Linked DNA regions of Caenorhabditis elegans. The protein of the gene in region 3 purifies or fractionates together with the protein of the main gene of each other region. This does not show direct contact. Each region holds a gene or a part of one and is shown on either strand. Other genes may lie near its edges.

Evidence for each region.
Region 1: the proteins of let-363 (region 3) and daf-15 purify together in Caenorhabditis elegans (affinity purification with western blotting; 2 studies listed by BioGRID, with this or other methods). This does not show direct contact.
Region 2: the proteins of let-363 (region 3) and rict-1 purify together in Caenorhabditis elegans (affinity purification with western blotting; 2 studies listed by BioGRID, with this or other methods). This does not show direct contact.

The regions. Positions count from the first base shown.
Region 1 is NC_003282.8:9,382,115-9,392,621, reverse strand, and holds the start of daf-15 (Raptor N-terminal CASPase-like domain-containing protein), read right to left. Parts: upstream 6,415-10,507; coding exon 6,350-6,414; intron 6,173-6,349; exon of another isoform or gene 6,166-6,172; coding exon 6,084-6,165; intron 6,020-6,083; coding exon 5,922-6,019; intron 5,704-5,921; coding exon 5,482-5,703; intron 5,366-5,481; coding exon of another isoform or gene 5,357-5,365; coding exon 5,060-5,356; intron 5,011-5,059; coding exon 4,884-5,010; intron 4,513-4,883; coding exon 4,143-4,512; intron 4,087-4,142; coding exon 3,907-4,086; intron 3,864-3,906; coding exon 3,130-3,863; intron 3,062-3,129; coding exon 2,199-3,061; intron 2,153-2,198; coding exon 2,044-2,152; intron 1,613-2,043; coding exon 1,396-1,612; intron 1,354-1,395; coding exon of another isoform or gene 1,336-1,353; coding exon 1,174-1,335; intron 1,128-1,173; coding exon 969-1,127; intron 920-968; coding exon 388-919; intron 1-387. Other genes in the region: nssp-45 (uncharacterized protein), read right to left, coding at 7,023-7,104, 7,327-7,496; C10C5.5 (N-acyl-aliphatic-L-amino acid amidohydrolase), read right to left, coding at 9,507-9,650, 9,707-9,767, 9,814-9,893, 9,936-10,042, 10,091-10,247, 10,296-10,507.
Region 2 is NC_003280.10:13,111,459-13,122,099, forward strand, and holds the start of rict-1 (RICTOR_N domain-containing protein), read right to left. Parts: upstream 5,349-10,641; 5' UTR 5,344-5,348; coding exon 5,250-5,343; intron 5,193-5,249; coding exon 4,988-5,192; intron 4,930-4,987; coding exon 4,663-4,929; intron 3,689-4,662; coding exon 3,599-3,688; intron 3,538-3,598; coding exon 3,253-3,537; intron 2,706-3,252; coding exon 2,413-2,705; intron 1,910-2,412; coding exon 1,492-1,909; intron 520-1,491; coding exon 12-519; intron 1-11. Other genes in the region: gfm-1 (Elongation factor G, mitochondrial), read left to right, coding at 6,035-6,082, 6,138-6,231, 6,290-7,008, 8,119-8,571, 9,416-9,693, 9,752-10,412.
Region 3 is NC_003279.8:5,241,392-5,251,857, reverse strand, and holds the start of let-363 (Target of rapamycin homolog), read right to left. Parts: upstream 6,116-10,466; 5' UTR 6,078-6,115; coding exon 5,955-6,077; intron 5,900-5,954; coding exon 5,799-5,899; intron 5,746-5,798; coding exon 5,451-5,745; intron 5,407-5,450; coding exon 5,077-5,406; intron 5,028-5,076; coding exon 4,816-5,027; intron 4,772-4,815; coding exon 4,711-4,771; intron 4,661-4,710; coding exon 4,488-4,660; intron 4,349-4,487; coding exon 4,235-4,348; intron 4,189-4,234; coding exon 3,891-4,188; intron 3,284-3,890; coding exon 3,170-3,283; intron 3,121-3,169; coding exon 2,943-3,120; intron 2,507-2,942; coding exon 2,136-2,506; intron 2,125-2,135; exon of another isoform or gene 2,072-2,124; coding exon of another isoform or gene 1,967-2,071; intron 1,907-1,966; coding exon of another isoform or gene 1,421-1,906; intron 1,376-1,420; exon of another isoform or gene 1,321-1,375; intron 1,004-1,320; coding exon 860-1,003; intron 809-859; coding exon 194-808; intron 1-193. Other genes in the region: B0261.5 (uncharacterized protein), read left to right, coding at 1,421-1,906, 1,967-2,071; mrpl-47 (Large ribosomal subunit protein uL29m), read right to left, coding at 6,566-6,782, 6,831-6,952, 6,996-7,101, 7,152-7,316, 7,371-7,465; C32E12.4 (Ubiquitin carboxyl-terminal hydrolase), read left to right, coding at 9,983-10,101. UniProt on the Caenorhabditis elegans protein: Serine/threonine-protein kinase that regulates the mRNA translation machinery, probably by modulating the activity of translation factors such as eIF-4G and eIF-2. It may have some protein kinase activity instead of lipid kinase activity.

The DNA.
Region 1 (10,507 bases), on a different chromosome or scaffold from region 3:
ACGAGAGAAAAACTAAAAAAATCGAGGAAAATTGAAAAATCCAACTATTTGAAAACTCTATTTTTTTTGTGAATTTCCCTGTTTGAATTTCCTCCAGAATAAGGAACCATGCTAACTATCAAGCCAATCAGCGTCTTCGAACTCCGTTCACCTCTGATTGGTTCGAAAGTGTGCTGATTGGTCGCAGTTATCATTCGGTAGGAAATTCAAACAGGGAAGTTAAATAGTCACAATTGAAAATAGAGTTTTCAAAAAGTTGGATTTATCAATTTCCTCGATTTTTTGTTCGTTTTTCTTTTATGGTATTTCATAATTTCAAGCTATTTCGGTTATTTTGCAGGCAAAATCCTCACTGAAAAGCAATATCTGAAAAGTTTAAAATGTTACCTTCTCAGTTTTGAAGTGGTTAGCGATCGAGCAGGATGAGTAAGCTTAACTCTCCAGAGACATTCATCATATTTACAACTCTGGAAGTCTCTTCCCTCAATATCTGCACTTTGCAACATTCCTTCCATTGCATGAATCGCCCAATCACTGATTGTTGTTGTCGTGACAACGACATCCTCTTGGCTTTTCTCTTTCTTTCCTTCTTTTTTGTCTCTTGCTCTTTTCTCTTCATGCATTTTACGATCCTGTTTTTGAATATCTTTGATTTTTTCTCGAAATTGTTCTGGCATAAATTCATCCTCATCTTCATGTTCCCAATCTTCTGATTTTTCTTCGTCAAGTGTGATTACATGAAGAATTGGTTCAACAAATACTTTACTACACCATGCAACGAATTGTGTTGAGACAATTGGATTTTCTATTACAGTTCGTAACGTTTTTGATTCTTCTTTCACTGCAAAATCTCCAGGAACTGCTTTTGTTCGTCGTGGTGTGAACTCCATCAAAGCTGCATCCATGATGTCTGATTTTCCTGTAATTTTACAATTTATATTGAACTTTTACAAACTGGGAAAACATACGAAAAGCTCCTTTGACAGTTTTTCCTGAAGCAGTTGTTGCCCGATCCTTCTCATCGTTGGCTGATTTGTTCTCGTCGTCATCGGAAGAGTCGTCTTTGGAAAAAAGTTCACTGCTTTGTGTTTCATCTGTGAACGAACTACCAGGAGACAACGCGTTTTCTAAAATTATTATAATTGCTATTTGTTTTATCGAATATACACTAACTATGTTGTTGATTTACATCACCAGGGCTTCCAACTTGAAATTTGACTTTTGATTCATCCTGTAACTTCTTGATTTGTCCTCCTTTTCCTCCTTTTCTTTGTTCCTTCGCTTTTTGCATATTTAATTTTGTGAAGTCAATTCCATCGGCAGAGACTCCAGACTCTGGAATCATTTCGACAACTTTTAATAGAATATCAAAAGTTCCGTTCATTTTTCACCTACCTTTTTCAACTTCTAAATTTCGTTTTATTCGTTCTGAAAGTGTGCTAACTTCTTCTGACGGTCCAACTGGTTTACGTGGCATTTCGACAGTCGCCTTCGAATTTTTACGAGCAATCATTTTTCGACTGAGATGAGCCATTGTATTGTCAATGTTGGCTTGCATTTCGGGCATTCCTGCTTCGACGCGATGCACTATTTTTTGAGCCATTCGGGCAACCTGACGAGATGTATTGGTTGTATTACACAGACGAAACATTTTGCGAATTAGGTGACGATAATACTGTATTCGGTCTCGTCACGACAAATTTTTGTTTAACGCAAAAAGGTATGCGCCTTTAAAGAATACAGTAATTTCAAAGTTTCGTCTCTGCTAAATTTTTGTTGTTTTTCGATAAAGCTTTATAAAGCTATATTTATTTATTTTCAAAAAACTTAAATTTTACAATGAACGCACAAAAAATTTAATAAATTGTGAGAAAAACTATAAAAACTCCACAGAAACCAGAGTTTGAAATTACAGTACTCTTTAAAGGCGGATGTCTTTTTTGAAATCGCAATAATTTGCGTATGAGTAATAAGTGGGAATTAAAATATTTACCATTCTAAGAAATTCTTTTTTTTTTCAAAATCTTTTTTTTCAAAATCTACCCTCTCAATAGGATCCAATGACAATATTAAAAGTGACAACCAAGTTTTAGCAACGGCTTCATTGAATGTTTTCGCTTCCAAGTGCTTGATCTGTACTTTTGCTCGTTCTCTGTAAATTTCACTTTTTACAATAAATCAATTTCTATCTTTCTTACCTATACTCAATATCTTCAGATTCTTGTTCAACACGATTTCCAGCTTCATGTGCAATGTGGTAAACATTTCCTATTCCGTCTTCATGCACAGTTTCTTCAACAGCTGTACTGAACACACTTGTCGACATTTTCTTTCGAATAACTGAAGGTTGCATGAATTCGTTGACTGGTGGAGCACGAGGTCGTCGATGATTTGATGGCATTTCTGCAGCAATATCCAATCCTTGTTCACTGAGATTTTCAGAAGAATTTCGTTTTCGTGGAAGTTTGAACTTAATTTGATTCGATAGTTCCAGTAAGAATTTCACGAATCGTTTCTCGAAATCAAACACAAACCATTGAAGAGCAACAATCAGTTCTTCTCTCACAAGAACAGAACTATCAAACACACACTGGGAACATAGTTCTCCTGCTAGATTTTCTTCAACTGCTGATGCATGCTCATTTGATCTCGAAGAGTTCCTCAATAAGCTTCCAAGTGCAAATACAGCAGCTGCACGAACTTCTGCTGATTCATCACTCAATTCCAAAATCATTTTATCATGAGCCATTAATCGAATACCCTGCCATCTGGCTACATCATAATCTGACCACAGACGACCCAATCCAATCAGAATCCACAGTTTCAGCAATTTGACGCTTCTCGCAGTATCATCGACCATCAATTCCGTACAAATTCCCATGTATCCCTTATTGGTGAGCTCTTTCTGTGCCAGTTTGAAATTATTGGATGTTAGCTGAGCAAGTACGAATGCAGCAACAGTTTTCTGTTTCGGTTTGATTTCAGGATCGCCGAGAAGTTGAAGGAAATATTGAAAACGAAGCATTGTCTTCTTTTCTTGTGGCTGTGCATTCGTTGGTTTCTGAAATTTTAATTTAGTTTTTTTCAAAGAAAGCTCCAATTGTGTTCTAATAAAAATTGTGAGTTTACCATAATTCCTTGCGGTTGTCTAGATTGTTGTTGTTGTTGCTGTGATGGTTGCTGTTGTAGTTGTTGTGGTTGCTGTGGTTGTGGTTGTCTAGGCTGAGCATTTGGTGAATGTTGTCCTCCTGATGGATCCATTTGCCTCTGATGAGCTTGTTGTTGAGCATATTGTAATTGCATATCCAATGCCTGATTCTGATTAGTTTGAAATCTTCCGCCAGTTTGAGTATTAATCTGAAGTGCACGTTTATCCATTGTTAATTGTGCAGGTGGTGGATGATTTGCAAACATGGATGATGGTTTCAATGCAACTGATGGTTGTTGTGATTGTGCTGGTGATTGTTGTTGTGTTGCTGATTCATCGATACACTCATTGAATAATTCCATTTGACACGATGGATCTACTGCCAGAATTTTTGCCCAAATAAACGCTAAAGAGATTTTCAAATCACTAATATTGCTTTGAAGTAGCTTCAGAACATATGGAAAGATTCCAACGGCAAGTGAATATCCGATAGCCCATCTACCAAAATCAAGGAATCGTGCAAGTAATCGTAGAGCTCTGACACGATGTGCCTGACTCAGAAGTACTTGAAGAACCATCGGAAGTTGGAGTGGAGGTGTTCCTTCGTCAACACCGTAGTCTAGCCAAAGTTCAAAAGCTTGTAGTTGTTCTGTGAAGAATGTGTTGTACTGGTGGGTCTCATTGTAAGTCAGCACATGTTCGAAGTCAATGAGCACTAAAATATCAGTTTGTGAATAGTCAAATGCATTAAAATATACCTAAAAACGGGAACACATTGCTTCTATTAATAACATCTCTTCCACAAAACAGTGCTCTTTCGCATTCTTTGACATAAATCAATTCTCTACAATAGTCTAGAACCATATCCATTGTTTGATCCCAGCATCTCCATAAATCATGCATTGATGTGTCTTTCAGAGGAGGCTGCGAAACTGGTACTGAAATTCAAAATTTGTTTAGATTTCATTAAACTTTCAGATATTTTATTACTTACAAACATTGAACTTTGACATAACTCTTTGTGCAAGCAAGAAACTTCTGAACAGAGTTGCCAAAAGTAGATCCTGACGGAAAAGTTTTTGGAACGAGTCACGATCTATTGAAGTGAATGCAATTGTGTCAGTGATGGCAGTGAATATCCAGTTGAGCTCTCCGAGCACAGTTCTTCGTTCAGCAAGATTTCCAGGAATCATGTCCAAAATGTTTTCCGGATACTCATCACGATGCTCCGAATGACTCAAATGAAATGCGAGTGATGTTCGGATAGGCGTGGTTAGACAGGAAGTGAATAGATCAGCTGGCAGATGAGGATTCGACATTGGAAGCCATTGACCGGCACTGCATGCTGCTAGATGGATACAATCCTGAAAAATAATTAGGTACGTGAATTCTTGTGCGGAACCAGGGGTACGCGGAAATTATCGACCAGCATTTTTTATAAAATTTAATGATAAAAATAGCAAAAAATTTGATTTATCGGAAAATAGCTTTCACTTTAATTGAAAAACTATTCAAACTATTCAAAAACGCTAAAAACTTTTCTGAAAGCTGAGAATTGCCGAAAATACCGACTAATTATCGAAATTTTCCCGGAAATTCCAACTTTCAAATAATTTTTGAGCACGTTTTCAATCAGTCCAACTGAAATAAAGTATTTTTTCTTTAATTTTTTTTACGCTGACTCATTTTGGAGAATTGCTGGTCGGAAATTTGCTTATAAAGATTCAATTCTTACATTATATCTGGGATATTTCTCTGGAAAACCTAATGCTTCTGCTTGATCAGCATCTGTCATTTTTGATGAGATTGGTGGTAGATTCCTCTGTTCCTCTTGCCATCGATCAAACCTACTTTGCCAGGATCTAAAAATCCATAATTCAGTATGTTCTTAACTTTTGGTATCAAACAAACATTTTCTGATCTTCTCCAAATCGTCGATAGTTATGAAGAATTGTCTCAGCTGAATGAGTTTCCCAGATATAAATTGTGGGATAATCAAGCCATCCTTGTAGATCGAATATTGACAATGGAATATATTGGGTGAAGCTTTTATTAAATACCCAAATTTCTCCATTATCTGTTGGTTTCGGTACACCGTGTCCGTTGTAGTGAAACAGAACTCGATCATTTCCACTGATTCTTCGAAGATTTGTTGCAACTTTTCTCACGTCATCGATAGGCGGATCCGTACAAATTTTATATCGAGTTCTGTAACTCCTTTTGGCTTTAAGATTGCATTTTTGTTAATTTTATTCATTTTTGTAATTTTTAACCGAATTCTAGAGTAGCGTATTTTAGTCCGAAACATTGGAAATATCCGATTCATCTCTTACTTTGATTTTGGTTGCCACTTTTCATAAGCCCTTTGAGTGCTCAATCCGATCTCTATGGCTGCTTTGTGTGCACCACATTTATATGGATCAACCCATGATAAAAGACGAGAAGGAGCATCTTTTCGAGACGGAGCTTCTGGTGGATCGACTCCCAAATGTAGACACATGATGATGGCGACAGATGCAGTTCGGAGGCGATCACTGCCTTTTCGGCGATTTACGCTGAAAATTATTTATTTTAACTTATAATTAATTTCTTGCCGAATGCCCTTTGTTTTCTGAAATCGTTTTGATTTTCCAAATAGTATAGTGCAAAACAGTAAAAATATTTCATATTATTTACTTTTTGTGAGTTTTTCCATTAATTTGCTGTTTTTTTTTTCGTCTTTCGTCACAACAATATTATTTTAATTTTAAAATGATGCTCTAATAAAACAAACCACTCTTCAATACAATCCCACTCATCTTCCATACTTCCTGCGATATCTTCGACATGTCGGGGTTCTTGTAAATATAATGTGACTCTTTCTACATTTCTCTGAAACAAATATATTTTTTTGTTTTTTCTTGAAAAAATTGCATTATTTAATTAAATTTCTCACCTGAGCATGCCACAAATTGACTGTCAAACGTTCTGCAAACGAGGAAAACGGTGTTATACTCCTATCCTCTTCCATTTTGTGTCTGAAACAAAAATTGTTTGCCATGTTATAGTGCGATCATGTGATCTTCACGAAGGAGTGAGCAAGACAAATAAAAAAATCAATAAATTTAATTTTCTTTGGAAACCGAGTTTAAGAAAAAATATTTCGTGCAAAATTGCATTTTTCTTGTCGGCAAAAAGTGCAAAAACCAAATTGAAACTCACGTTGGCAATGAATTTAAAGAAGACGTGATTCGTGCAAGTGCGCTCCGTTGCACTTTTTGTCTCATTTTGGAGGAAACTCAAATGAGAGTTTCACCTTATTTACGGGTTTCGCAACGTTTTCATCATTATACCGAAATTTTAATTAATCCAAATAAGTATTAAAACAATTTTTCGACAATATAATTAAAACAAAATTAAAAAATGGAAACTATTTTCTATATTGGCTGTGATTCAGTGCTGCGTATATACTAGAGCAGATATGAAACAATGCAAATTTCGGAATATCTTAATTTAAAAAAATATTTATTTATTCGAGTCAATTGACTTTGTGGGATGACTCATGCATATTTATTTTCAACTGTCATATATTTTGTCTCGAAACCAGTGAAAAATTACATTTGACTGCACCTAAATTTAACTTACTTTCTAGAATTCGTATTATCTTAACTTTAATTGTATATTTAAAGGTGTTAAAGGTAAATCATGCTGTGAATATCAAAAAAAAATTAATCTCGAAATTCGAGCCGAAATTCCATCTTTCTCTGAACAAAAGTAAATTCATTAACAATGTATTTTATTCAATGATGTTCTGTTGTCACTGTATTTTGAAAATGTTCTCAAACTTGGTTGGTAATTAAAGATGGAAACAATTATGAATGGAGTAGTTAACGATTCAAGCCTTTGGATACATTCGACGCATACATCCAGGTCCATGGCAGCCAAGAAATTCTGTGCAAACACAACCAGGTGGAGCTCTGGAATTTAAATAGTTATTGTAACTAGCAAATTTAGAATTAAAGGAGACATTCCCAAAAAAGTTTAATGTTTTCAACTTCTAGTTGAACTCATCATTAATAATATTGAATACACATATTTTACCAGTTAAACAGTTTTTATAATAAAATCAAGTTCATGTGCTAACAATGAAAATACAATACATTAAAAACTAATGAAATAATGCGAACTCAAATCAAAACCTCTTTCCAAGATCCGGTGTGATAGATGCAGCGGATGAAGAAATCGGACGATATCTCGGGTAACGAGCCATGTTTGAGCTGAATAGGAAATCAAGTGGATCCACTGCCACTGTTGTTGCACAGAGCAGAAGGAAAACCGTTGGAAGCAAGATTTTCGATGAGAACAGCATCTGAAATTCTAGAAAGATTTCGAAAGAAAATGCATATGTTATGTTGAAAAACAGAGAAGTGGTAATGGGAAATTAAAATAAAGATATACAAGAATGAAGTTCCAATATGTCAAAAAAAAAGAAGATCCCATTATCCCATTTTATATATCCCATTTGTTTGTCCGAATGACCGTATTTTTTCCTTAAGACAATAAAAATATGTGTCAAATGTTTATTTTGTAATTTCATAGTTGAACATTTTTTATAATTCCAAAGATATATAAGATATGAGCTGTAAAGCAGTAAGGAACTAATAGGAAATATATTGTGTGCTTTTATTATTCTATCAAAAACGCTCTCAATTTCTCTACAAGCAAGAAATTGAAACATTTACCAATTTTACAAAATTTTGTAAAGAGACATTTTTGAATGGCTTTCTTGTTAAGCTACATTGACGGAGTTTCGACGGTAATAAAACATATCTAATGTCGGCTAAACATGAATTTCTGCTGTTAACTTGATCATATAATCAGATTTAACAGTAAAATGTTAACTAGATAATGCAGGTGTAACATAATTCTATCAAATGTAACATAGCTCGTTGAATACTGTATTCGTTCTCTGTTTCTAAATAATATGTTAATAGTAAGAAATGAACTCCCATTTGAAGGTTTTATTAATAAATGGTACACTTCAATTGTTTCCAAAAGTGATAATGGAGCAAAACTCGACCGTTTTGGAAATTCCACTTTGAAAAAAAAAACAAGATTTTGTGAGGTTTTTCAATAAACTCAATAATCCGCAATCAAAAACATCCTTGAGCCAAGTGTAAATAAATAAGAAAAGTGACAAAAACCGTAACAAAATAGTAAAAGTCGCCAAGTTTCTAGAAATATCACAAATGTTTTCATCGTTCATTGCACATGAACAAATAGCAACTCAAAATATATCAAATGTGACAAATGAGAAATTGTCACGAGATCATTTATAAATGAAAAAGAATGTAAAATGAAGCTTCTAGTGCTTTTGTCACTTCCTTTCAAGATATTGACTCCTGGAATATATACATCATCCCATTTGTTTTTATTCGAAAGAAAAGCACATAATTTAACAATGCGATAGGAATACCAATTTTCATGAACCAAATAGTCATGGTGGTCCCGTCCCAATGAAAGGAAAAACGTAATAAGAAAAAACAAAAATATAATGGAAGATGTCTGTAATTGAGATGAGTTCAGACTGCAAATGTATAAATAATCAAAAAGTTTTAGAAAAGATAGTGATATCAGGACTTGTTAAAAAATTTCAAATTATTAAATTTTGAAATTGCTCTAATTCTTAGAAGTTTTGTCAACTGGAATTTTCACATGAGAATATGTTAGTTCATAATAATATCATATGAAAAATAATGGGTATAAATCTGAATGCCCATGGGAAAAGTTTTATATCGCTATAGAAACCTGGTTAAATAAAAGTATTCTATTTAACAAATCTGATGATTATTGATAATTTTACCTATTAAATGCACACAGCTGGTCTCACCTCGATTCAAAAATTTTATTATCTATAATCTAGTAAAATTGGCTTGTGACTGAATATGGGGGCGTCCTGATTTAAAAAAAAAAAGAGACTTTTCAAGCTGTTAAAAGAGGTTTGAGGAAAAAACCTACGAGTTTAAAAGAAAATACCGAAGACATATCGGTTTTATAGTAATTTCTGAACAATTTATCACTTGACATTAGCCAGATAGTCAAACAACATCAATTTTCACACTTGTAATTAGCATTTGTAGGTTATATTTTTCTAAAATATGATATCATATGCCTAAATTACATTTTTCTCGCAAAAATTTAAATGTTAATTTTTTTCTTTCAAACACATTATGCAGTTTTTGAAAATGGGTATTCTGCAATCTGAATATGTTGAGAACCGTTGCAACAAGCAGAAAATTATTTTACTAGTTTGTAGAATTGATATACAAACATTTTTATTTATACAGAACATTTAAAAAATACTTTAAAAATTGAATTATTAGACATTGCCCAAGTTGTTGATGATTGTTTGATAAATCTCGAGACCTCTCAAAAATACTTTCTCATTTAAATATTCATTGTGATCGTGTGGAAGAAACGGTGTGTTGATCATTGGGGAAAAGTTAATGGAATTTACTCCTTCCTGAAATAGTAGATCAACTGAATGTCAATTTGAAACTAGCCAATTTTATCACTTACATATCTCACAAATCTTGAATCTGTTGATGCAACCATTATCCCTTTTTCAAATTTGCAGTTTCTGAAATATTATTATTCAAATTATGTCCGTTAAAAAATTAACTAACTCTTGATTCAAACTGTCCTCAAATGCAGCCCAGAATGAATTATCTCGAGTATGTGCAGATATTGGTTTTTGGTCAGAATACTGAAATAGAGCCTTGATTGATTTTTTGTTTCAGAACCTTACTTGGGAAAATTCATAGGTGACACCTTCTCCGGCATTCTTTGCCCATTGATCCAACATTTCACGTATTTTATTAAAATCTTCATGAGGTGTCAATCTCATATCAACATCTTAAAATTATATTTTACATCTATAGGCTGAATGAAAACATTACTTACAAGCTTCAAACTTTTCAGGAATCACATTGAACTGAACTCCACCATTTACAATATTCACGTTCAAAGTCGTAACATCTCCCAGTGTTAAATTTGGATTACTCTCCAATACAACTTTTTGTTCGTTGCGAAATTTTCTGGCACTGGCTAGGAACCGCTCCTAGACAAGTTTTAGTGTTTTAATATTTGCAGAAGGAGTGTAACTTACGAGTTTCTCCATTGCAGTATTCTCCATAAACTGTGATCCATGACCAGGGTTTCCAGGGAATGTTACTTTCACCCACCACGCAACTCTTTCTGCGTAGAAAACTTTGTAGACATCATCATCTGATGGCATCCCTTCATCTAATGAAAATCCAAGGTTCAGCTTCTTGAACTCATCGGTTTTCGCAAATCCTTTCATTCCATTAATTCCAAATA
Region 2 (10,641 bases), on a different chromosome or scaffold from region 3:
GAAACTATTACATTTGAAATATGAACTTGAATAGTGTTCGATGTGAATTCTTTGAGAAGCTTCTCGTAGCCATCCTTCTCGATATTCTCAACATAATACTCCACATAGTTCCAGTCAAATGCTCCGGTTGAATCGACGAAAAACTTCTTCGCATTCTCCTCCTCATCGTCAAGCGTGTCTCTGATGTTCGGAGCTGCGTAATCATAATCGTCAGCATCATCCATCAACATCAACGCATTCTTATCGTATCTTCCACGGAGCACAGTCTCGCTGAACTCACCTGGAGACTCTTCTTCGTAGACATCAGGCGAGGTGTTTCTCTTAAAAAATGAGCCCCCCGATCGAAATGAAGAATCACTTTTTGATTTTTTCATTGTAGATGCTAGTGGTATGGGTTCGGACATATGCGGTGAGAAGAGCATTAGATCCGATTCTTTGAGAACGGTGGATGAGGTGGACGCGGATCGGATCCACGATTGATTTAATTTGTCGAAGCGATTTAGGACAAGCTCGGCGTTCCTGAAAAAAAAAATTGGTTTTATTTTTAAAGGTGGTGTTGTTTTATCGCTTTATTATGGGACTATTCACCTAATCTAGGAAAATGCAAAAAGTATTTTTTTTAATTTTTGCCCCTATTCAAAAATGTGAAAAAAAAACGCATGCATTTTTCGAATTTTTTTTGTATTTTTCGCCATTTTTTGCATTTTTCGAAATTTTTTGACATTTTTAGAAAAAATGCCAAAAAAATGTCGAAAAATGCATGCGTTTTTTAAACATTTTTCTACACAAATGAATAGAGGGAAAATGTATAAAAATACATTTTTGCATTTTTCGTCATCTATTGAATAACCCCATTAGACTCAAAATTATCTGAAAACACCGAGTTTCATATTGAAACTTCTCAAAAAAAAAAAGTTATGACGGCTCAAAAAATGACCAAAAATTAGTTAAAATTTGGAATTTGAGCGACTGGAAACTAACTTTTTTTTTGAAATCACCGTCTAATTTTTGGTATAAAAGTTAATTATCTTGGGTTTTCAACTCGATTTAGGTATTTTTTTCGTCCACGGACTTTAATCTACATAAATCGAGTTGAAAACCAAAGATAATCAACTTATATACCCAAAATTAGACGGTGATTTCAAAAAAAAAGTTAGTTTCCAGCCGCTCAAATTCCAAAATTTTAATTAATATTGGGTCATTTTTGAGCCGGTCGCTATAACATTTTTTAAAGAAAATTTTCATTAAGAAATTCGATATTTTCAGACAATTTCGAGTCTAATGAGGTTATTCATGTGATGATGAAACATGCAAAAATGTATTTTTATACATTTTCCCCTTATTCATGTGTGTAGAAAAATGTTTCAAAAACGCATGCATTTTTCTACATTTTTTTTTGAGACGTTTTCAAGAAATTTCATCATGAAATTGGGTGTTTTCAGACAATTTTAAGTCTAATAAAGCACAAAAAAGTGTATTTTAAATACTAACGTAGCATGTAGGAAAGTGTATTGCTCTGTAGTATTAATATCAAAAGTTCCATTTATAGCCGCCACCGCATGACTTTGGCTCAGCGATTCACAGGCCGATTGCACCAGAGTTGGCATCGAAAGAACCGGAGCTCGATACCCCATAGGTACATGAGATGGAGCTTGTCTCAACATATCAGCCATCAAAAGTGTTGCCTTGAGTCCACTTGATGAGTCGGGCATCGCAAGGATCAGCCTGGCCAGCGAGAGTGGAAGCTGAGCATTGATCAAAACGAATTGGGAAAGAACTCGGAACGCTGCAAGAAGATCGATTGTTGGCTTCCGTCGTTCCGTATCATTTTTCAAGCGAGCATCATTTTGAGCAATTACAAAGTCGTTTTTCAGGTTGCTCTTGAATTTGTCCGGTAGGTGCATTGTTTCTGAAAATAATTTCATTTCCGTTTTTCAAGAAGCCTATGAATACTTGAATACATTTTTTTTTTCGCCAAAATCACGAAAAATTGATTTTTTTGTTTTTAAACGCTTTTTTTGAACAATTTAACGATTTTGAGCATATTTACAAGATAGTTGAGTGTCATTTTTCAAAAAAAAATTGTTTAAAAAATTTTAAAACGGTGTTTTTAGATAACGACAGGTTATTTAGCAGAAAATATACTTTCTGAATTTTCTGAAAAATTTTTTTTAAAGTTTTCTGCATTTTCTGAATTAAAAAATAAAAAATTTCTGAAATTTTTGAATTTAAAAATTTAATGATTTTTTTCTAGCTTTTTTTTGAATACTTTTCAGTAATTTCTGAAAAATTTTTTGAAAACTTTTCTGAATAAAAAAAAATTTCTGAACTTTTTCCAAAACGTTTTCTGCATTTTCTGAAAAAAATTTCGAAAATTCTTCAGGTCATTTCGAGTTTATCCTCCTTACTCACTATAAAATGAGAGAGCTTCTTCCCAAGACTCAAATGTCTTATTGGCATATGGAACATCCACAAATTCACAGCAAAGATCCACAATCGTATCACGAATCCTCACAAGATTATCATTGGCCACCGTACCTAGGCCTAGGTAGTCTAGGAGCCGGAACGGTGAAGATGGACGAATATTTGAGTTGGGGCCAACTGCAGCACATGCGAAGAGCCCCGGCCATGATCGAATGATTCGGAGGAAGGAACACTTGAAATTCTCCAAAAAGTCGTTCATGTGGAAGGCTTCGTTTCTTAAACTTTGAAACTGGTTAGAAAACTATTACGGGGTTAGTCGTGTGATGTAGAAAAATGTCAAAAAAAATTTCGAAAAATGTCGAAAAATGCAAAAACTAACTTTTTAAAAATGTATAAAAAATTTCTAAATTTTCAATGATTTTTTTTTCAAAAAATAAAAAGGGCCGCGAGAAAAATTCAAAAAATTTAAATTTTTAATTTTTTTAAAGATTTTTTTGAATTTTTCTGAAATTTTTAGATTTTTTGCACAAAAATGTCAAAAATGACGTCAGTTTTTTGCGCGGCGGGAATTCAAATTTAATTCGGTCTTTTAATTTTTTGAAAAAATCATTTTAAAAATTTAGAATATTTTTTTAACCATTTTTTTAAATTTATTCTGAAATTTTTAGATTTTTTCGAATTTATTCTGAGATTTTTAGATTTTTCCGCATTTTTTGCATTTTTTGACATTTTTCGAAATTTTTCGACATTTATTTTGAATTTTTTGCATTTTTTCGCATTTTTCTACATCACATGATTAACCCCATATATAGGAATGCTAGAGCTTACGCATTATCATTCGTAAGCATACTTCCTCTTTTCTGGAACAATCCGAATTCCACCAGAGGTGCGAAGATCTGCTCCATCACCAAATCCAAATGCGCTTTGATCCGAATCGTCGGAGAATCAAGCCACGAGATCAGAACATGTGATGCAAGGAGCACAATTCGTCGGCTCATACAAGAAACTCCAGTTAATGCTTTTACAAGCCAATCTGTTCCGGCCATTTCTAGGACTAATAGCGGTTCGGTTAAGCTGAACTCCAGGAAAAGGCCGACGCACGGGAGGGTTAATCTAAAAATTGGAAAATTTATTAATTTTTTTCAACGGGAAATCGAATCCAATCCAGGCTTACTTGTCTTTTCCCGTAGTCTGTTGACCTTCAAATGCTGACAATGCGATGGAGATGATGGGTTGCATGATGGACTTGGGGAATGCATATTTTCTGAAAAAAAAAGAATGCGTATTGCACAGAATATTTGACGCGCAAAATATCTCGTAGCGAAAAACTACAGTAATTCTTGAAATGACTACTGTAGCGTCTGTGTCGATTTACGGGCGATTTTCTCCCGTAAATCGACACAAGCGTTACAGTAGTCATTTCAAGAATTACTGTAGTTTTCGCTAAGAGATATTTTGCGCGTCAAAAGATTTAGGTACATTTCGATGTGCCAACCGAAAAAGAAAACCGATTATTTTTAAATATTCAGTGCAAAATTGAAAAAAAAAATTTTTAACTTTAGATTTTCCCAAAATCTACAGCTTTTTCTAGAATTTTTCAGATTTTTACAGAAAATTTTGTATCATTTTTTTTCAGATTTTCAAGTTTTTTTTTGGAATTTTTCTGGAATTTTTCAAGTTTTTCAAGCTTTTTTAAAATTCATTTTGAAATTTTCAGAGTTTTTTGAATTTATTCTGAAATTTTTCAGGTTTTTCAAGAGTTTTTTAAAAAGATTATTTTGAATTTATTCCGAAATTTTTAGATTTTTTTTGAATTTATTCTAAAATTTTTAGAGTTTATTTTTAACACTTATTCTGAAATTTTTAGAGTTGTTTAAATTTATACTGAAATTTTTAAATTTTTTTAACATTTATTCTAAAATTTTTAAACTTTTAAAAAATTACTTCTGGAGATTTTCAGATTTTTTAAAGTTTTCCACCGAAAATTCTGAGTTTTTACAAAAAAAAATCACAAACACCATTATAAAATCAGATTTTAACGTACAAATGTTCTGCAACTTTTCAGATTTATTCTGCAACGACCAGATTTGATAAAAAATTTATTTAAAATATCTCTTTGGTGATTTCAAAAAATTTAGTTTCCCGCCGCTTGTCAAGCCGGCTAAATTCCAAATTTTACCAAATTTTGTGAATTTTCGATCATTTTTTTCCAGAAAATTGAAGTTAAATTTAGCATACTTTCCGTTTTTCTGCGCCGCCGAGGAGTCTATCAGCTTCTTGAGATTGGATTTCTCGTAGATTTTAAGCATCCAAATAATTAACTTGAAAGCTTCCAATCGTTCCGTTTGATTTTCCATTTGTAAATCAATTGCGCGAACGATAAAAATATCCACGTGAGTTGTAAGGATTACAACTAGATTCCGCTCGTTTATCGTACATTTTCGAACCATATGGAAGCACATTGCACGGATACACGGGTGATCGTCGGGTAGGAATTTTAACACTCTGAAAAATGGGGAATTTTTATTATATGTTAAATCTCAGATTAGTTTTCACAACTTACAACTGACAAATATCCTCAAAAAACTCGTTATCCGTCAGCGATTCCACTGTGGTTTCCAAAATCGTCCTGGAAATTCCATTCAAAAATTCACATTTCTCTTCGTAAGTTGCTTTTGTGTACGAATCGGCGCCTCGGATCAGTTTCTGCACATCTTCACGGGCTCGGAATCTTTCTCGTCGTTTTTCACTGGTTTCGCTTACTTTTTCTGGAAAATTTTAATATTAAAATGCTCATCATAATTCAAGCTGAAAAAAAAACTAACTAGCTCGAGTTTTGACTCTGATGCTCTCCCGGATTTCCTGTATCCTCTGTGTATTGTTTTCGCCTCTGTGATACACTTTTCGACGAGTGTCCATCGCCTGAAAATTGAAATTTTTCATGAAAATAGCGGGGGAAACGAGACAGGACACGGGGAAAAAGTACTGCAATTGATAAGAATAGTGGAATTAGAGAGAGCAGAAAAGTGGTTAAATATGCTCTTTCGCTCGGCCACCGGGTTACTGTAGCTAGCTGCGTAGGAAATAATAGAAATAATATATTTCCGTCGAAAAGAGTATTTAAAAGATTATTTCTTTCAGTTAAAACCCGTTATTTCAACATTATTTAATGATGCAATACCACATTGCTGGTTACAAAGCGTTTTTCAAATTTCCAATAAACAAAAACATGAAATTCTTGGAAAACTCTGCATTTCTCAAGCAACTCGAAATAAATCAATATTAAAACTTGATGATTCTGTTCTTTTCTTTACTAAAAATTGAAAAAACGAACGGAAAACAACGAGAGAGTTCTTTAAAAAATATATAAGAAATATCTGAAAGTCGAGTGAGAAAAACATGTTTTTTTGGAAGAGCGACTGCCCCGAAATGCTAGGCCACGCGTCGCGTACTCCTCTCGGATAACGATTTTATGGCATCATTTTTTGTTAATTAATAAAATTAAACGTTTTAAATGCACTTTTCCAATATTATTTTTATTTTAAAAATTTAAAAATTATTTAAGTGAAAATCTTTGAAAATTTAACATCTAAACTTCAGGTAATACACAATGAGTCCTCTCGGGAGGTTCTCTGCAGTGGCGCAAAGCCGTCGGCAGGTAATTTATTTATTTTTAAATTATTTTAATAGTTTTTTTTAAATGAATTTTTCAGCTAAACAACGTCCTCCGACGATTCGCATCCAACGAAGCGCCGTCGTCCGTCGTCGTACCAGGAGTCCGGCCAATTGAACGAATCAGAAATATTGGTTTGGCGTTTAATCCTAATTTTTGATCAAAATCTTGATTTAAAACACAAATTTCCAGGTATTTCTGCTCATATTGATTCGGGAAAGACGACTGTCACAGAAAGAATCTTGTATTATGCCGGAAGAATCGACTCGATGCACGAAGTTCGCGGAAAAGACGACGTCGGAGCCACAATGGATTTTATGGATCTCGAACGACAGCGGGGGATCACTATTCAGTCGGCGGCTACCTATGTGGATTGGCACGGAACTAATATTAATATTATTGATACACCAGGCCACGTGGATTTCACAGTTGAAGTCGAGCGGGCTCTTCGTGTTCTCGATGGAGCCGTACTTGTTCTGTGCGGAGTTGGAGGTGTCCAGTCGCAAACGTTCACTGTTAATCGTCAACTGGCTCGCTACAATGTTCCGTTCATCTGTTTCGTGAATAAAATGGATCGGAATGGAGCGACTCCTCTGAAAGCTCTAGATGGCCTCCGGAATAAATTGAACCATAACGCGGCGCTCATTCATTTACCAATTGGGAAAGACTCAAATTTCAATGGAATCGTCGATTTGGTAGAAGGACACGCGTTGTATTATGAGGGTGAAGGTGGACTTATTGTGAGAAAGGACGAGATTCCAAAGGATTTGAGGGTGGAAGCAGAAGATAGACGTCAGGAGCTCATTGAGCATATTGCCAATGTTGATGAGACTCTTGGAGAAATGTTCTTGAACGATCAGACGCCAAATGTTCAACAGATTCATGAAGCTATTAGAAGAACTGTTGTCAAGGTTGAATAATTATTAAAGCGCGCTTGCTATCAGATTATTCAGATTTACTCGTGGTGCTAATATGTCCCATTACGGTTTGATCTACAAAAAATGCGGGAATAAAAATGCACAAAACCAAAGAAAAAACATTTTTTATCCACTAAAAATTTCAAAAATCACCAGCTTTTTTCTAGAATTTTTCAAATTTTCTCTGGAAATTTTCTATCGTTTTTTTTTAATTTTCAGAATTGTTAAGATTTTTTTTGTATTTATTCTGATATTGTTAGATTTTTTTTTTTGAAAAAAATCTAAAAATTTCAGAATAAATTCTGAAAAATATAAAAAAATTCAAAAAAATCTTTTAAAAAATTCAGAAAAGTTCAAAAAAATCTAAAAATTCCATTTTTTTTTCCTGGAATTTTTCAGATTTTTAAAAATTTATTCTGAAATTTTTAGATTTTTTAAAAATTTTCTCTGGAAATTTTCTATCGTTTTTTTTTAATTTTCAGAATTGTTAAGATTTTTTTTGAATTTATTCTGAAATTGTTAGATTATTTTTTGACAAAAAATCTAAAAATTTCAGAATAAATTCAGAAAAAATATTAAAAAAATTCAGAAAAATTAAAAAAAATCTTTTAAAAAATTCAGAAAAATTCTAAAAAAAATCTAAAAATTCCATTTTTTTCCCTGGAATTTTTCAGATTTTTTTCGAATTTTTTCTGTAATATGGTTTGACTTTGAAGAAATCAACGAGATTTTTCTTATTTTCTAAATATTTTTCTATTAAAAATCGGTTTTTAACAATTTTTGACCCTAATGTTAAGTCAAAAATGTATTAAAACCGATTTTTTATAGCGAAATATTTAGAAAATAGGAAAAATCCCGTTGATTTCTTCCAGTGGACGAAAACGCTTAATTTTAGTCATTTTAAATTCGATTTTCACTGTTTAACAATAGGTTTTGTTCGCAAAATGCAGAAACAAAAAACAATTTTGAAGCTAAAAATTTGATAATTCTGCCATTTTCAGTGGAAAGACAAAACTCCGCGGATGCAGAATAGCGAAGCGTAGCAAGAGCGTGCATAACAATAAACTTGAACAAAAAATTAATAAAATCAATATTTTGTTCCAGCGTGCATTCGTCCCAGTCCTCTCCGGATCCGCTTTAAAGAACAAAGGAGTTCAAACAATGATCAATTCCGTCGTCAAATACCTTCCAGATCCATCTGAAGTCGTTAACAGAGCCACTGTAAAAACGGAAACCACCGGAGATGAAAAAGGAATCATTCTCTCGCCAAAACGAAACAATGATAAGCCATTCGTCGGGCTTGCCTTCAAGCTGGAAGCAGGAAAGTACGGCCAACTCACCTATTTCCGAGTCTACCAGGGACAATTAAGCAAAGGAGACACTGTTTATGCATCGAGAGACGGTAGAAAAGTACGTGTGCAGAGATTGGTTCGGATGCATGCTGCTGATATGGAAGAGATCACTACTGCTTATGCTGGAGATATTTGTGCGACTTTTGGACTTGACTGCCATTCTGGAGAGACTTTTTCGACGGATCAGAATCTTGCTCCGCATTGTGTAGGTTTTGATGCTTCACTGCAACTTTTTTCGAACGAGGGACGAGGCAAAAAGGTTTCTTGGCCATGGCCGAGTCCCCGACAAATTTCAGCGGCCATTTATCTTGCTTTGTTTTCTGCGTGTTTTATTTCGTTTTTCACCGATTTTTTCCGTTTTTTCTTATCAAAACTAATAAATAAATATTTTTTGCAGATGCTAAAACAATTTCCAAGTGAAAAAATTGTGAATTCAGTCGGCAAGTAGCGGTAAAAGTGGTCAATGTAATATGATGGATTACGGGAATAAAAAACCCAAACTTTTTCCCAAACGTGATACATATGCTGTTTAGATGCTAAAAGTACCTGATTTTCATAACGAGACCGCTGAAAAAGTTTTGAGATTTTCAAAATTCAACTTTTTTTGTGAAAAAGTCGAGATTTTGGCACAAAATGTTGAATTTTGAAAATCTCAAAACTTTTTTAGCTGTCTCGTTATGAAAATCAGGTAGCTTCAGCATTTAAGCAGCATATGTATCATGTTTCAGAAAAAGTTTGGGTTTTGTATAGCCGTAATCCATCATATTACATTGCCCACTTTCACTGCTACTTGCCGACTGAATTCACAATTTTTTCACTTGGAAATTGTTTTAGCATCTGCAAAAAATATTTATTTATTAGTTTTGATATGAAAAAACGGAAAAAATCGGTGAAAAACGAAAGAAAACACGCAGAAAACAAAGCAAAATAAATGGCCGCTGAAATTTGTCGGGGACTCGGCCATGGCCTAGAAACCTTTTTGCCTCGTCCCTCGTTCGAAAAAAGTTGCAGTGCATGCTTTTTGCCTTAATAATATTAAAAATTTCCAGGAATCAATGCACATCCCGGAGCCAGTTATCTCGATGGCCATCAAACCAGTAAACCGAAAAGATGCCGACAATTTTATTAAGGCGCTGACGCGATTCACAAAGGAAGATCCAACATTCCGACGAGAATATAATCAAGAAGCGAAGGAAACGATTGTTTCTGGAATGGGAGAGCTTCATTTGGAAATTTATGCTCAGCGTATGAAGAGTGAATATAATTGTCCTGTGGAGCTGGGAAAACCTACAGTTGCATACAGAGAGTGCTTGGGTAGCCCTTATAAGTGAGTGAAAAAAAACATTTAAAAAAAATATATATATAAATGAAATTTCAAATTGCAGATTCCACTTCCGTCACAAAAAACAAACCGGAGGACAGGGACAATTCGGAGAAATCGAAGGAGTCATTGATCCACTACCATCTGATCGCAATACTGTCGTTGAATTCTCCGACGAGACATTCGGAAACAATATCCCGAAGAATCTGTTCCCGGCTCTCAAGAAGGGTCTCGACGCGATTGTCGCCGAGGGTCCACTTATCAAGTCTAGAATCGCTGGAATTCATGTTCGGATCCAAGATGGTTCAACTCATGCTGTAGACTCCACGGAAATCGCTATGATCAATACAATGCAAAACATGATGCGTGAATCATTCGAAAAAGCGAATTGGCTGCTCCTCGAGCCAATTATGAAAGTAGAAGCTACAGTTCCAACGGAATTCCAGGGAAATGTAGTGACATCACTCACCCAGAGAAATGCACTGATCACCACCACCGATTCGACGGAAGGATACGCGACTGTGATCTGTGAAGCTCCACTGTCGGACATGTTCGGATACACTTCAGAGCTACGATCGTTAACGGAAGGAAAAGGAGAATTCAGTATGGAATATTCAAGATATGCACCTACAACACTGGAAGCTCAAGATCGAGTACAAGCAGAGTGGAGGCAGTTGCATGGAATTGCTGATCCGAATGAGAAGGGAAAGAAGAAGAAGAAGTAGATCTGTTAATTTAGGGTTTTTTCATGTTCTGTAGATTAGTTTTTTTTTACTCTTGTTTTGTTGTTTTCATTCATTTGTTAAGATTTTTAGATCATTCATTAAATTTTTGCGAGCTTTTGTATTTTAATATGAAAAATTCAAAATTCAGAAACACTACAAACAATTGTGATGGATCAGACCTATTGGGCCGTTCCGCAGATCGACAAATTGCCAATTTGCCGGATTTAAA
Region 3 (10,466 bases):
GGAAAATTATTGTTCAATAATACTTACTTTGGTTGAAAATATGAATTTTCAAAAGATTATTATTTTCAGATTAAACGAAAATTTTCCTACATTAGTTTTTTTAAAAGTTTTTCATCAAAAAGCTAGATTGTCATATTTAAATTGACAGTTTTGTACTTTGCCGAAACATTTGTCACGCAGTCTTGTTACGAACCGCGATAATCGTGAAAATAGCTGGCATATACGGTGCCGCGTGCTTTCTTATAATTGCCACGAAATTTGCCAATTGTTGAAGAAAGAACTCTCTCAAATTGGCTCGATTTGATGATTCAGTTGCTCGCCGACAAACTTCTATTAGCCTTGGAATGACTTGTTCTGTATACAATGGTGCCATATCACCAAGACTTCTGAAGATTGTTACTATAGCTTGAGCAATTTCCGCGTAGCTCTGCGAATCTTCGTCTTGCATCATTAACATCAAATTTGCAATCGTAATCGCTGGATAAAACTCTTCTAATGTACATTTTTCATAGTTAAACCAATGAATAATGTCTTGACGTGGATCTTTTGAATCAGTTTCAGAGATTGGAAGTGATAAGGCTGTGCTTATAGCTGTCGAGCTTTGTACTGAGCCAGTGAATACTTTATGAGTATATGGATCGATTGCTCCAAGAATTCCGAGAGTTTTGATAGCTTCTCGTCTCATTGTATTTGACATGACAGTTTTCAGGATTCGAAGAAGATCATCAAGTAGACTTGGATAGTCTCGATATGGATCCACAACATATGCAGTTGAACGACATATTCCACCAATTGCACGGAGAGCCGCCTGAAATTAAAAATTAATTCTAAATTTCTAAATTTTCTAATTTACTCTCACCTCTCGTTTATGCAAGCTGCTCGAATCATTTATCATATGTGTCAACTTTTCGAACAATGGCTTCAAATTTTTTACTATTTCGGCTCCACCAATCACGGCGATTTCGCTGACAGCATTCAGAACTTGGGCAGTCACTTCGGCATACTGTAATTTGTGAATTTTATTGAAAAGTTCGAAAAGAACCACATTTGTAAAATTTTGTATAACTATCAGTTCTTTTTAGCCAAAATAATTTTTTTCGGTATTTTTCAGACAAAAAAAGAAAAAATTTCCTTTCAGTTTTTCAAAAATCTTATTATGCAGTCGTAAGAAAACCGAAAAATCGTGAATTTTTAGAAAAATTACATTTTCTGTCTCTTTTACGCTTTGAAAAATGTATTTAAAAGAAATCTTAAAAAATATTTAATCGACGTGTAGAAAAAAAGCTGTCAGAAATTATCAAAGACGATTATTTAGATTTTTAAATATTTTAATAATCCAGAGTGACAATTTCATTTGATCAATTTTGGAAAAGAAGTGAGTTTTCAACAGTTTTGAATTCAAAATATATTATTTTTTCAGATGCTATTATTATTCCGTTGTACAATCACTGTTGTCCTTCCAATTATTTTCCTCATCTTTTTTGTAATTGGATGTCTAAAAAAGAAACCATCACAGAGTAAGAAGAAGCCATCAAAAGTGTCAACAGTCACTTCAACGACGATTAGTCAAGAGAAAACAAATTCTAAAAGAGGATCAAAAGATGCTGTTGTGGATGTTTCAAAGCCTGGAAAACTTCCAACTTTAGGAGAAAATAATAAGAATTTGAGTGATAAGAAAAGCAAGCAGAGATCACTGAAGGCACAGAAACAAGATGGACTGAAAATGGAGAAGAAGGCATCGGATAAGCGGAAGAAGAAGGCGAATAAGAAGAGTCCTCGAACACAGGAGACACAGGAAGTTGTGATAAAAAACTCGAAAAATACAGATGATTCCTGCATGCACACTGCAATTCGAGCCAATACCATGATGCATACAGTTCGTGAACCATCAAAGATTGCTTCTAATGTAGGAAATTTTAATTAACTTGATACCGTAATTCATCTTTCTATAAATTTTTTTGTTTAGGCCAAACCTAATGATGGATCAGACGGAGCGGACGGTGGCTACGAAAAACTGGGTGACTTGTCAGCTGATGATCTCAGGAAAATCGCAGAAGCTGCTCCGAAATAGACCTCTTAGCTTTTTTGTGGAAAATATTTTGGAATAAATTTTTTTTATACAAAAAAAAACTAACTTTTTGATCATTTCTCAATTTTGGAATCATAGCAATCATTAAACTTCCAACGTATGGTCTCATGAACTTTGGACTCTGTTTCGCCAATTGCGCGATCATTTTCGCAGAATGTTGCTCCAATCTTGCCTGACCACTTTGTTGCATTTGACTCAATGTCTCTAGGAGCATCAATCGAAGACGTGGCAAAACAAGTGCCGGATTGAGCTCTGCGAGTCGTCCGAGTAACGTCACACATGCTTGCTGCATTTCGAGTTTTTCGTCGTGAAGAGCCATAAATTGTACTTCGAGCATTTCGGGTTGAGCCAAATGAGCAAGGAATGGCCGTGGCATTTGTCCGAAACAGCTGATTACTTGCATTCTGACACGGACATCTGAAATAAATTAAAAACATTTTTGAATATTTGATCAGGAGCACAATTTTGCGCCATTAGTACTGTACCCGGTCTCGACACGACAATTGTTTTAATAGAAAAAGGTATGCGCCTTTAAGGAGTACTGTAATTTCAAACTTTTGTTGCTACGGAATTTTCATTAAAATTTTCCGACTTTTTTCCAGAAAATCATAGGGAAATTGTCATTTTTTGAGAATCGAGAAAAATTGAGAGATGTTCGGACGAGACAATAAAAAAATAGATTTTTCGAAAAATGATGAATCCAAAATATTGAGATGACTAGAAGAATTATTGAAAATTCAATTTTTTTCGTTTATCGATTTTCGAAAAAAATAAAACTTTAAAATTACAGTGCTATTTAAAGGCGGTTAATTCTCGTTTCGACCAGTTACCGTAGTTTCGAGTAAATACCTACCTTGATCATTAACAATAACCGAACAAACAGCTCGCAGCACACCATAAATAGTTTGAAGAAGACTATTTCTCTTGTCACTTGTAACTTTTTTATAAACTCCAACAAATGGTACGACCATTTCACAACACGAAGAGACAGCAGCCAAACGGATTTCCACATTGTCCGCTGTCAAGTAGTACTGAAAAACCACAAAATTACAGAAAAATCGAGAAAACTTTCGAACGTACATCTGCAACGTATTGCATGATTCTCTGCAAGGCACCTCTTGAGAAATAGAATTCACCGAGCACATCGACAGCCAGCACGATTCGTTGAAGCTCTTTTGGATCGGTTTCTGCTTTCTGAAATATAAATCTTTTGCATAAATACAACCCCAAAACTCTCATTTGAGATTTTTTGAATTTACTTCTTTGCACAACAGAAATATCGCCAATGAGAAATATATTTAAAACCATTGTTAATGCTAACATGATAAAATATCATAGGAAATCTGTTCGAAAAATTTAAATTTTAAAAAGTCGCCATTTCTATTTTCTTATTTTGCTGATTATGAAAATATTTGAAAACCCCGCAAAGTTTAGGTTTTTTTTTCGATTTTTCGGCTTTTAAATTTACGATTTCTGGAAACAAAAATCAAAAATTTCGAAAAATTTCTGGTCATTTCTCTATTTTTCAAAAGATAATTTCGATAAATTTATAGCTTCTCTGTCTTTTGTTTTTCGAACATATCTGAAAAAAGCGAAAAATCATACAAATTTTTAACGACGCCCTTGGTTCGAATATAGAAAAATGTCGAAACTTTGACGGAAAATTATTTCAAAAAAGATAAAATTGTAAGCGTTTTTAAATCTGATGGGATTCTGATCTTTATTTAAAAAATGTTATGTGCTTTTCAGATTCAAAAAAATTACTTCGAGCAAAATTATAAAATTTCTCTACGAAACAAACCTGCAAAATAGCTTTAGGACTCGCAGGCCTTCCAATCGGTTCGGATTTTGGTGGAATTAGAGATCCAGTGAGTGTTTGATAGACAGAAGCCATAACACCATCTTGAACATTCAGCCGCAGTTTCGGAATTCTCATCATAATCATTTTTAGCACGTTTGCCAGCGATCGAGACAGGGTAATATCCATTAATTGTGGAATTATTGCCTTGATTTGTGTCGTCACTTGTTCGTGATAAGCATCCACAAATAGGAACAGGAATGTGAAATAATTATCGAGAACATCAGAATTCGTCGTTTTTCTACAAAATTTAACTATTAAAAAAAGTGTACTAATTTCAAATTTACTTGATAGCAGCAGAGATAAAACTGATTGTTTTCTCGATATGTGTGGCATGTACATCTGGATTCGAGAGCATCATCATTCCGATTGCTGGAGCAGCGACCGCATTTCTTTGAAGACTGAAAAAATTGAACATTATTGGAAATTTTGAATCACCATAATTTTTTTTGAGTCTCGTTACAAAATTCGTTTTTAGCGCATTTCGAGTCTATAAAAGCTAAAAGCCCATAAACATCAGTCCTCTTCCATTCTACGTACATAGTAAATGAAGTGTCGAATGAGATTGTTTGAAAAGTTCGATCACATTGTGGAAATGCACAAATTCTTGGTAGAAGCTGCATGAGAACTGTATTCAGGTAAATCGAGCTTTGCTGTTTCGTGGATGAAGTTTTGTTTGCGAGAGGTATTATCTGACGAACACAATCGAGTATCTGGAAAAAAACATAACAAATTTCGGGAAATGAAGAATTTCAGCTTTTACCTTCGGAAATCGTTCCAAAACCAGCTTTCGAGCAGTCACACTTTCCACAATAGTTTGTTGCCTTAAAAATACAAGTTTTTAAATAGATGAAAAAGAATCGATTACTTAGTTAGGACAAGCCATTCAACACCTTCTTCTTCGTCTTCTTTCAAAAACTTTTGTTTAATAAACTGTGAGGATTCACATCTGATGAGTTCGAATCGTTGATCAGAAATTCGAAGAAGTTCATTGAGAATCAGGGCGACGGCATGCCATCTATCCAAATCGTCCTTTTGCGATGGGTTTGGTTGACCTTCCAGTGCTTCATCGAAACATTTCTGGAATATAAAATCATTCTAACGAAAGATCAAAATTTTAATTGATCACCTTAAACCACTCAGTTTTATTCTTTGCTTCACGCTGTGAAACAATTGTCAAAACCACGTGTAATGCATCAATTCCGGCGATTCTTACAGCTGGATTCTTGTCTCTGACAGCGTTGAAGATATACTTGAAAAATAAGTTTACACGAAGAAAGAATGCTGTCGGTGTGGCCAGTGCGAGCTCACGAGAGAGGTGTGAAGCGGCGAGTCGACGAATTTGATCAATTTCCTGTTGATTTTTGGGTTGCTGACTATGTGGAACATTTTGACCAAGCCATTCGTGGCAATGATCAAGACAACGATCAACCAGCTCGGCCGCGTATGATTTACAAGTCTGCAAATGTTTAAAATTGGTTTAAAAAAAATTAAATTACTTACCGCAATCAGAAAAGCGAGAGCTTTTGAAGCCATCTTGACTGTATCTTCATCTAATCCATTTCCATTATTTAACATTTTCAGAAGATAATTCGCATATCGAATAACATTTCCAGAATGAGTTTCAGCTAAGCACACGATGAGATAGATACCGGCTCGTTTCTGATCGATATTTGAATTCGACTTCATACAATTATAAATTGCACTCTGAGAGGCTATATCTGTTCGTCCATCGATTGCATTCAGGAAAGCATCACTAAAAGTATTTGGCTCGTCTTTCAGCTCACTTCGAACATATCTGAGGAAAATAATATATTTAATTTATTGACTTTTATTTAAAAAAAAAACTACCTGCTGAGTTCTCGAGCAGCCTGTCGTTGATTTGCATCTCTATTTTCCGTAATTCGGCTCCGATATTGTGAAGCAAGAGCTCTTGCAGCATCAATCCCTTGCTGAAATATGATTTTTTTTTCCTTAAAAATTGTTTAAAGGAGAAGAAATACTAACTTTACGATGCCGCTCGTCAAATTCATTTGTAGCTGGAGCGGAGACTATTCGATTGGAAGTTGTGGCTGCTTTGTTCTGTCTATCGGCATTCATTTGAAAACTAATTCCGTGTTGTTGGAGCATTTTTCAAAGATGTTTCTGCCGATTTAGTGCATTGTGGGCTTAAAATTACGTTAAGAATAAAAAGTTATGAGAATGATCAGAAGCATAGAAAATCACTGGTTTTTTTCCGAAAATAAAATTATTTCCAGCTGAAATAATCAAGAAAGTGCTCAAAACTGGCCGTTTTCAGAAAAATATAGCTTGATAGTTCGATAATAGACAACTTTCAGGTAATTTTTTACCACTTTTTAAATTTTTTTCAGCTAAAAATTAGGTTTTTTTTCCTATGTAAATCAAGGGATTTTCAATGAAAAATATGAGAACAACACGGAGCCTTTTGTAATATCAGATAACTATGGGCTGACAAAACCCGTTGCATATTTCAAAATATCAAGAAAAAAGAACAATGGATATTCTTTGAAAAACTAAATAAACTGAGGAAGGAAGCAAAGCAAACAACATTTTTAAAAGCCTACTCGAAAACAAAAAAAATATCTAGAAACAACTTTTTATCGATTGAAAACTCGTGGAGCTCCTCTCTTGAATCTGTCCATGTCTTCTGTTCGTGCCGCTCGTCTCTTCTCATCATCCAATCTATCTCGATTTTTCATGAATTCTTTTTCCTGCCAAAGCTTCTGCATCACGTAGGCATCGTCGTCGAGATATGGAGTTTCGTATTCTTTCTGGCCGAGTTGAGGTGGTGCAAAGTGTTCTGTGGCTTGTTTTCTGGAACATATTTTTATTTTAAAAAAATTAATTTTATCAGGAACTCACTGATATGTAAATCCAGCGAATGAAGTGATTGTTCTCTTGCGTGGAGCCGCGGATTCTCCAGTTTCCAAACGGAAGACCGCATCATTTCGCTCGTGAACTACTGATTCTATACGATCCATTGTCTGAAATATATCATTTTGCATTTATTAAATTTTTAAAATATACCTCATGAACACGATCAAGTCTCTCTGGGTTTGGCATGTTCCGGGCACGTGAAGTGTGCGCTTTTTTCATCGTTATCAGCATATTTCGCTCCTTCAAGCACACATACCTTAAATTTAAATTTTTAATAAATTTAAAACCGAATTGCCATTAAATTACCAAAGCTTATGCAAATCTGAATTGCTTTTTAATCTCAGTTCTTCTGCTGTCCACGATCTGCCCGGCCGATGTTTCGGGCGGAGCTCTGCTTTTCCAAAATTCGCTTCATCATCGAAAAATTGTTTCATTGTACTGGAAAATCGTGTGTTGACGGCATTTTGTGATCTAAAAGAAGCAAAAATTAACTGGAATTCAACAAACTTCGATTTATCAACTAACCGAACAGCCGAAGACACCAAACTCGGTAAACTACGCCACATTGTAGATTTGAAGAACCTCAAAGAATGAAAATTGGTAAAATCAAAATTTTGCATATATAAAGAGCAAAATATTCAATAAAAACAAAAGAAAACATTAAAAAATAGAATATTTTGGAGAAAACCTTGCTGCCAAAAAATAATAAATGGGCGGCAAGTGCGCTCCACCGCACAATTGCCTCCCCCATAGCAGAGGTAATTCAAAAAATAGTTTTTTCTAGATAAAATTTCAATAGCAAGTTTTAATACTTTTAACATGGGTTTTCAGTAAAACATTGAATTAACTTCAAGTAATTATTTCTTGAAAAAATTCTTCGACAAAAAAGTTCATTTTAAGTCAGATATTAATTTTTGAAATTATGAAAACTTAGTTAATCTCCCAATAAATAAATGCGGTCATTTATATGCCTGGAGGTCAGTTTTTTTGATTAAACTGGAAGCTTCTGGCACCTAGAAAAATTTTGTTATTAAATTTTGAAAGCGCTTAAAATTTGAAACAAGTCCCCGAAGAAACATTTTCAAAAAAGTTCAATTTAAGTCAGATATTAATTTTTGAAATTACGAAAACTAAATAAATCTCCCAATAAAAAATGCGGTCATTTATATGCCTGGAGGTCAGTTTTTTTGATTAAACTGGAAGCTTGTAGCACCTAGAAAAATTATATTATTAAATTCTGGAAGCGCTTAAAATTTGAAGAAATCCGAAAAGTTCTAGAATTTTCTAAAAAGTTCTGGGAATTTTTTAAAGAAAAACCTGGAAAGTTGTAGAATTTTCTTGAAAGTCCGCAAAACTCCAGGAGAATGTATAACTGTACAAAAATGCTACATTAGCACTTTAAAATTCATTAAAACAATTTAGCGTACGCCAGTCGGAGCACGCGCTTTGCGTGTGCGAACGGCTGGTATATATAAAAGTGTGTGAACAAGATATTCCATCGTCGAATCGTACATTTTGAAATGCCAATAGTTTTTTTTTTGAACAATATTATCATTAAGAGGTCGTGTTGTGTCAGGTGTCGTCTTTCAATCTTGAAGTAATGTCCGAAACATTTTGCTCATTGCGGTTGTAACCCCTTCCTGTGTCTTGTCTCTGTGTCTCTGAAGATTGTACATCGCACTAATGCTCACTGAGCACCACAAAATGAATTGAAAAGATAGGGAAAGTGTTCTGGAGGAGACAGGAAGATAAAGAAGACAATTTCATTTCGTTTCTTATACTCCCTCACCTTTAGTTCAATTCTTCTTATATCACTTTATCACATTGAAAACTGAGTTTTCTTTTATTAAAGATGGTATAGTGGGGAAAATGCTAAAATTACTTTAATAATCCTCAAATTGTCAAATGTCATAAAATATTTTTGAGCGTAATCTGAAATATGTTTATTTACCACCATAAAGTGGATATTACTTAGTTTTCATCGGTCATAGTTTTGAGAGTCGACCAGGAAAACCATTTTTTCTGCAGGTTTAAAATATTAATGATGTTTTCATTATTCGTATCAGGAGGTGCAAAAGCTTGAAAGCTTTACTTTTTACTTGACGTGCTAGAAAATGATTGAAGATTTTTGCTTGAAATCCAACTCAAGCAAAAATAATGCCACAAATATCCGGTTTGCCGTTATTTCATTCTTTTTTCTAGAAAGTTTCTTGAAGTTTATACAGTTTGATTAAACAAATAACGTTCAAAAAGATTGATGTTTGAAAACCTGACTTTGCGCTTGATTTTCATCTCTTATTCATATTTTGACATTTGACATTTTTGCACTTCGAACATGCAAGAAAACTCTGAGTTTCTCAGAAATTTTACGAAAATTTGTAAATTTTCCAAAGTTTTGACTCTAACCAAGTTTCAGACAAATGTCATATTCAAGTAGAGAAAGTTCCAGTTTACGATACAGAAGTGGAAGTGTTGAGAGGCGATCAACAACATCTTCATCAAGAGATCCTGCACCATATCGAACATGTTATGGAGTTGAAAGGGGGCGTGTATGTTATTGAAATTAGGTTATTTTATGTCAAAAATTATCTAGGAACTTTCGTATCTTAATTGAAATACGACATTTTCAAACATATTTTGAAAATTAATTTTAAAAATTAGATAAAAATACACAATTTGACAGTCAAAACTACGTTGAAAAATTGCAAATTATGAAATTTCTGAAAAATGTCAAGCTATGAGAGCCACTGAAAACATGCCCACATGTTTACTGCATTCTCATGTTGTGGCAGTGGTTTGGCAGAAGAAAAGAGCCGATAAAGTTGTCAATCACCTGATGTTCCTCCCATGACTCAAAGAATCTCAGTTGGCTCCCGCATTCTCAGAAAACGTCTTATTTTTTGTTTTCTCACCTTTTATCATATAGCATTTATCGAGTTAAAAAAAAATTTGGAAGTTTTTTTGTGATTTTAAAATTGCCAAAATGCCAATCTGAAATAGTTTTCAAACGTTATGAAGCTGATATTTTTTCAAACATAAATTGTAACGCGATAATTCGTTTTAAAATTTTAAAGGTTGCATATTTTGAAACATTTCAGTCTCGAGATCTTCCTTCAACTACAAAAACAACAACAAGAATGCCAAGAGCAACATCATACGATCCATTTGCTTCTACAAATCGAGCAAGTTCAGTTATTCGAAGTGGTGGTCTTTCGAATAGTGACTATACACCCAGAATCAGTTCATATACAAGCAGGTGGGTATTGGAGAAATTTGACGTTCATTGGAGTTTCCAATTTTCTAAATATATAATAATTAACTAGAACTTGAGCTTTATCACAAGAACAAATAAATGAAAACTTTTGTTTTACTATTAGAATAGATGAACTAATTGGAGGTTTGTAAAGTTTGTCTTATACATTTAATTAAATGCCAACGGAATTTGTACAGTTCATCAAAAACTACAGTGTTTTTCAAATATTCATTTTTTAAAAGGTGCTGATAGATTGTTTTTGATTTCCTTTTGAAGAAATTTCAGCTCACTTTCAGATTTCCGAATGAAACAAATTTAACAGCAAATGAGCTCTATGAACTTTTTTCAAATCGATCCTAGTCTATCAT